Kluyveromyces lactis: one gene and its partner. The protein of the gene in region 1 interacts with the protein of each later gene in a biochemical or structural test. Links are inferred from orthologs where the notes say so. Each region holds a gene or a part of one and is shown on either strand. Other genes may lie near its edges. The genes, in order: SEC4 and MDR1.

The links.
Region 2: of the proteins of SEC4 (region 1) and MDR1, one has a biochemical effect on the other in vitro, tested with the Saccharomyces cerevisiae proteins (2 studies listed by BioGRID). The link is inferred for Kluyveromyces lactis from reciprocal best matches to the Saccharomyces cerevisiae genes SEC4 and MDR1.

Annotation. Positions count from the first base shown.
Region 1 is NC_006041.1:1,073,902-1,076,747, reverse strand, and holds SEC4 (Rab family GTPase SEC4), read right to left. Parts: upstream 1,450-2,846; coding exon 805-1,449; downstream 1-804. Other genes in the region: VTC2 (vacuolar transporter chaperone), read right to left, coding at 1-324; proteasome activator BLM10, read right to left, coding at 1,815-2,846. UniProt on the Saccharomyces cerevisiae protein: Involved in exocytosis. Maybe by regulating the binding and fusion of secretory vesicles with the cell surface. The GTP-bound form of SEC4 may interact with an effector, thereby stimulating its activity and leading to exocytotic fusion.
Region 2 is NC_006040.1:1,290,478-1,294,965, forward strand, and holds MDR1 (GTPase-activating protein MDR1), read left to right. Parts: upstream 1-1,394; coding exon 1,395-4,229; downstream 4,230-4,488. Other genes in the region: HOB2 (Hob2p), read left to right, coding at 1-935.

The DNA of each region.
Region 1 (2,846 bases):
ATTCTCTTCACTTTCAGTTTCTTCTTCAAGCCTATTCAAGGTATTCATAATCTTATTGTAAGCAGAAGTTTGAAATCCATAAACTTTCTCCAACTCCTCATCCAACGCGGAAACAAATTTGGATTCATCCTTCTCACTCCAATATTCATCTACATTACTCTTCCCCTTCTTCCCCTTCTTCCCACGGCCAGAAGAAGAACCATTGAACATTTCAGAGTCTCTGATAACGGACTCTTTTAACAACTTTTTCAATTTCTCATAATCGATATAAGAATCCCTCCATGGGGGATAAGTATCATTAGCTAGCTTCACACCAAATAGCATTGTGCCTTGAATTTAAAAAGACCAAATCCCTCTTTTGACAATATTATAAGGGTTATAATAAACAGCAACCCTTCCTGGTTATAAAGCTGAAGATGGTGATCAGGATTACACTTCTCAATTCAAGATACAAGGAAGCTGAACAAGAAAATAGAAATCTACCCAACTGTTTATTGGCTAAATAAAATCTTTAAGTCCATCCTTATATCTGTTTCTTTATTTGCATTTCCTTCTAATGCACTCTTTATATAATCATCGATGCCCTTATATTGGGAAAGTTGGGCAATTTTATATTGATCTTGAGTGGCACGTGGAGATGGTCATGTGATTATTTACGTCACGTGTAAATCACCTGATTTGGAATGGTCGTGTAAAGTTACCTTTGAACTTTCTAATACATACCATTTGAATATATATATATATGTACACACACAAAGCCAATGCATAGGTTGTTATTTCTTATTGTACGCTCTGATCTGTGGTTTAGCAGCAATTGGACTTGGAGCCTGAAGAGCCTGAGCCACGAATGCTTACATTTCCCTCCTTTTCAGCCTTTCCTTCCATCTTACCATCATCGATCTTTTCTTGGATCAACTTGGCCAATGTGAAGAAGATTTCGCTGACGTTGGTGTCGTCTTTGGCACTGGCTTCAATGAATGGGATCCCTAGCTCCTTAGCAAGAGCTTCACCTTGTTCGTAAGACACGGTTCTTGTATCCATGTCCTTTTTATTTCCGACTAGCAGCATTACTACATCCTCGCTAGCATGTTGGTTAACAGTGGAGAACCATTGTCTGATGTTTTCAAAAGTTCTTTCGTCAGTAACATCGTAAATCAATACAATACCCATGGCACCTCTGTAGTATGCGGTTGTGATGGTTCTGAACCGTTCCTGGCCAGCAGTATCCCAAAGTTGTAACTTCACACGTTTCCCATTGATGTCTACGGTTTTAATCTTGAAATCGATACCGATTGTGGTGATGAAAGTTGGTGTGAACTTATCTTCAACAAAACGAACCAAAAGACATGATTTACCTACACCGGAATCACCTAGAAGTAAAATCTTCATGACAGAATCATAGTTTTTATTCGTGCTGCCGTTAGCAGAAACCGTTCTTAATCCAGACATTATAGTTTCAATCTCCCTTGTTTCCTTCACGCTTCAATTAAGTGAAAAAAATTGATATCACAGTTCAACACTGTTATTTTATCTCGATATATTGGAGGAGTGGCGAGCTGGTTATATCTGGTCAACAGAATCTGGGTTTTAATAGCTCGGCCGTAAAGTGTTTGGGTTAGTGCCTTTCGTGATGGCTATCCTGCTTTCACCCTTTCAAACAATATTTGTCCAAAATCTAGATACTGATCGAATTCGTATATGGTGATAGGCATACCCAATGTCAAGTTAAATTATACGATTTATACTTGTAGATGTACATATATATTCATGTGCATACGCAGCTTGTGGGTCATCTGTGTCGATTGTGCAACTTCTCAGGCGTAGTAACTCCTCCAAAGAACACCTTCCATATCTTCTAATTGCTCCGAGGTGAACTGGTATCTGTCCAAATGCCAGGTATCTGCTCTAACTTTCTTGTATCTAGAGATGATGTTCTTTGCATCAGCACCGCACATACCGCTTGTTCTTGCCCAGGACGCTAGTAGTGCCATATTCTCTGGAATCCAATTTGGTAACGGTGAAACGTACGGGAATGCTTCGATGATGGCACCGAGACCCAAGATCGCACCGTGAATATCTGTGTTGGATTTGGAGAGTGCAGCTTTCTCCTCGAAAGTATATGAACCAAGTTGACGCTTGAAGTTTTCCAAGAGAGTGTGCAAAGTATCGGTATCATAAGATATGTTATGCACGATACCGGCAAGGACATAGGAAGCCTTGAGACGAACCTCTACAAAACTCTTACAGAACAATTTGTCCAAAACGAACTCTAAGATCTTCACTTTACCAGCATGGTCCATAACCAACGATTGTGTGGAGAAAAGTTTCTCTGCTAAAGTCAAATTCACACGTAATTCATGAGAGCTAGTCAAATCTGTGTCATCCAAGATCGAAATTATGTCAGGTAACAACGTGCGGCTTATTGGAATGTATGCAAGTTCCACGTAAATACTGTAAACCTTAATGTTGACCATTTTACAAACATCTCTCATTCTGTCTAACTTCATCAAGAAGGGTGCCAAATAACATTTAGCAAATGGACCCAGACACACTCTAGCACCAGTATTGATTAAATGAGCAGCCCAATAGAACATAGTTGATGCCAAGTAGAAATACCTAGTCTTCAAGATGTCCTGAGCGGGTAGGTCCTTGATCAACAATCTTTCTTTTTCAATTTCGTTGAAGATTTTAATAGCCCTCTCTCTCAACCAGCTTGGGATTTCTCTGATCTCAATTGGACCAGATGCCCCCGTTTCGAGAAGAGACTTCACGTTTGGACGATGAGCATTTGCCTTTATGTAGAAGATAACTGAGAAAAGTTTACCAACTTCACGACGAACCACGTC
Region 2 (4,488 bases), on another chromosome or scaffold:
CGTTTGAGAGTCATCCAAAGTTCGATCATACTAAGCCTTTCATCGAGATCAAGTGGAATATGGGTGTTCCAATCGGTGGTATTTCAAACTTACTTGAGCTGAATCTTCTTTCACAACCCATCATTTTCAAAATGGATTTTAGAACGTCTGAAAAATTGATGTCTTACTTATTCCCTAAGTATAAATCCACACCGAGCGACAACAGTTCTATAATTCGCCAATCAATCGATATCTCGGATAGCGAATCTCAAGTGTTGTCTCGGAAACCATCTATTCTCAGTAACTCGACAGGCAACTCGGTTAGATCTCCAATGACAAGAAGAATGATATTGACCGACTGGGATATGCAATCTTTTACAAAAGTCTTAGATAAAAGTAATTTGAAGGGTGAAGCAAAACATTTATATGACCCTGAATATGAAATGGATGAAATGGTGAAGAGATCTAGTAAGTATTTCAATGTTGCTAAAATCTCAGTTAATGGTTTGATAATGTCCGTCAGCTATAAAGGCTCCAGGAGTGTAATAACAAATGTTGATAATTTAATCGTGAAAGTGCCTACTATTCAATACACCAACAAATTATGGTCATCTGAGGAACTTATAGCCTCATTCAAGAAGGATATCGTGAAAGTTGTGTTACAACACACTGGTAATATTATAGGTAACAAGTTTGTGCCACACAAAAATGAAAACAAATATGAGCCATTGAAACAAATTTCTAACTTGATAAGACCAGAATTACAAAAGATTCAAAAGAAAAGTTCAGCATCGTTGCCAACACTATCCAGAAGAACTTCTAAAGTACCTTCAAAAACACAAGAATCAGATAAGATCCCTGACCAAGAAACAACGACATCCGCTCGTGCCGCAATAGATACAGTTCCAGAAACGTACGATGTCGAAGAATTCTTTCCCGCAGAGACAAACACATAAGATGGACATATGACATAAACGATTTAATCCCATCCTTTTTAATGACCAGATATGTACACGAATATGTAATTTCTTACTTATGATAGATGATTTACTCATGCATTTCAATTCTAATTCTAGCTCCAATTCCTGATATATATAGCACGATTATTACCATTTATACATAATACGAAACTGATGGTAATGATAGATGCTGTGTGTAATCGTTATAGATTACGGATCTTAGTGCGTAATGGGGTCACTCAGTGTCGTTAGTACCTTCTGAATGCTCTTTGTAGATCATTTTGACGTTACCCGGTTTTCATATTGTTGTGTTATAATCAAGCCAACTCTGTTAAACATTGTAACATGCGCATTATATGAAGAATGTGGTATCATTAAGAGAGTAATAAAGCATAACAGCCAGGTGCAATTGCTTCAGCTATTAAATCTAGGGTGTCAATTGGGCAGTATTAAATCATGTCCTTTTTTGATACGCTTCGAAATACAGCGAACTCGGTAAAGGAGAAGTTTGCAGATAACTCTTCGCCGAAATTAACAAGAGATGAGAGGTTTAGACTAGACTATAAGTTGCCCAGTACTGAATATATATTAGATGATACCAGTGCAGAGATCTCTATGTTGAGTCCGTATAAAAATGTGAATCGTAAATCAGCAACGTCAAGGGAAAAGCCAGTTGAAAATACATATGTTTATTCGGGGAGACTATTTTTAACTCCGCATTTCCTAGTCTTTAGGGATTCATTTGACCACATGAGCTGCGTTATGGTCTTGAATATATCTACCATTAAAAGGGTTGAGCGTGCTAATATAGCTTCTTACGCTTTTTCTTTGCAAGTGACGTTGCTTTCTGGAGCTCGATTGATAATTCAATTTATCGGATTAAGGTACAGGTCGGAAGAGTTCTCACATAAGCTCAAAATGCAATTGAGAGATAATATACCACAGACGAAGAACATGCCAGCATTCTTAGGCACGCTATATTCAGAATATATCATTGAAAAAAACATAGATAAGAACCGTGAGTTGCAACCACCGTCACTAGGATTGGGACAAATATATAAATACCCTGGTGATCCAGCACTTCAAAAGGAAAAGGCTAAATTAAGGCTATGGTTTGAGTATTTCAAATCCAACGGTATGAATCTCTCGCTCTTGAGGCATCCAGCTTTTTATAAATTGATAAGAGTTGGAATACCTAATAGATTAAGGGGAGAGATATGGGAACTATGTTCTGGTTCAATGTACGAAAGGTTCATGAATAAGGATTTGTACCAAAAACTTCTGGAAGACCATAAGGGAGAAAACTCACAGGCCATTGAAGAAATCGAAAAGGACTTGAACAGGTCTTTGCCTGATTATGCAGCATATCAAGATCCAGAAGGTATAGACAAATTGAGAAATGTTCTTGTAGCATATTCTTGGAAAAATCCGGACGTCGGATACTGCCAAGCAATGAATATTGTTGTCGCTGTCTTGTTGATATTTATGAGTGAAGAGCAAGCATTTTGGTCACTATGTAATCTTTGTGACCTTTACGTTCCAGGGTACTATTCAAAGACAATGTATGGAACTCTATTAGATCAACGAGTATTTGAATCATTTGTCGAATCTAAGATGCCAGTAATGTGGAATCATATTGCCAAGTATGATATCCAACTATCTGTGGTATCCTTACCTTGGTTCTTATCTTTATTCTTCATTGCAATGCCTCTTCAATTTGCCTTCAGAATAATGGATATTTTCTTCGTGAACGGCCCGAAGACTTTGTTCCAAGTAGCGTTGGCTATTTTGAAAGTCAATGCAGATGATTTACTTGAAGTTGATGATGACGGTATGTTTATTGCCATCTTGAAGAGTTACTTCCAAAGACTAGACGACAGCGCACACCCAGAATCTAGCGATGTTAAATATAGGCAAATCACAAAGTTCCAGGAACTTCTTGTCGTTGCGTTCAAGGAGTTTGATATTATTACAGAGGAACTTGTGGAAACAGAAAGAAACAAGTATAAGAAGGGTATATTGCACGATATTGAATCCTTTGCAAAGAGAACGCAACTAAGAAACGTGTCAAAGGCCGTTCATCTCAGCCAGAATGAAGTCTCTAACATATATGACATTTATTACCAGAGTATAGACTCTTACAGAATTAGTATGGGAACAGGTTCCTCAAAAATGGACTTTACATCATTTGTTCAATTCCTTGCAAAGATATGCGATTGGTGTAAATCAAGTTCAAGTGACCTTGACCATAGGTTCAGGAAACAACGTAATGATTTTTTGAAGAGGTTGTTCAAAAGTTGGGATAAAGGAAACTTTGGTGAGCTAACGTTGAATGATGTTGTCTCTGGCCTAGACAAAATGAAGACAGAAGATATAATGGAATCCATGAACAACTTCTTCCAGCTTTACGACGATCAGCAGACGGGCAAAATTCAAAGAGAACAAATCTTGAAAATGTCAGAAGACTTACTATTCCTAACTGAACCATGGAAATCTGGTCGTTGTATTGATCTTCTGACCCAAACATCGATAGAAAACGATATCGCGGAAAGCATCGTGAAGAAAAACGGCGGAAGAGTTGTTACTTTAGAGGAGATTGAGTTACCGAAGGGCGTCGTTATCGATGACGAGAAATATAAAGCTGAACAATCTGAAAGGTATTTGCATGCCGCCAGTAATTTCTTACAAAGATGCTTCGAATATGCCCAGCCATTGGAACAAGAGGTACCCATCGATCTGTTAGACCTATCTGACGATACAGACAACGAAGAAAAGAAAAAGAACAACGAGAAGAGATGGAATAGTCTAAAGGCTAATGTCGCATTAAACCCAAATACCCCATGTACTCTTGATCTGGCAACGTTCCGAATGCTTGTCTTAGCCGATGAAACATATGAGCAATTTTTTGCTAACACCCTAAGGAACTCTATTCACGTAGATGAGCAGGTGAACGCGCTGGAAAGTCGCTCGAAGGCATTGAGGAACGTATTTGACGGATTAATCGCTGATGGTAGAAGAGTTGCCAATCAAGTACGGCGTAGAGTGGACTCTGTTGCCACTCAGCAGTCGGAATCGCCAAGTCAAGATAAACAAATTGACCTAGACGACTTTAGCACTGACCATGGCGATGAGAGCATGGAATTATTACACTCCGATTATAGAGATTTAATGGATATGGATGACGACGAAATGCACTCGGATCATAAAAAACTAAATTCATTTGATCTAGACCAATCTACTCACCCAGACAACCATCAGGGGAAAAAAGATCTGATCGAATTTGAGACATAAGCGCTGTTAATCCGGCTCTTCGTATATAGTTCTATATATTATGTCTATAATGTATTTTGGCAATCGGAGCTCATTACATATTGCCATAACTCAAGAAAAATTCAATATTTGAACTTCTTTGCAAATTATATTCATTCATTAGAGAAACAGAGGTTTTGAAAGCATATTCTCTACTTCAAAGGTCCAATCGACACCAGGAGTTGGACTTCAAATTAAGAACTTATTCTACTGCTATAGGGTTGTTTTCTGCTTATTATAA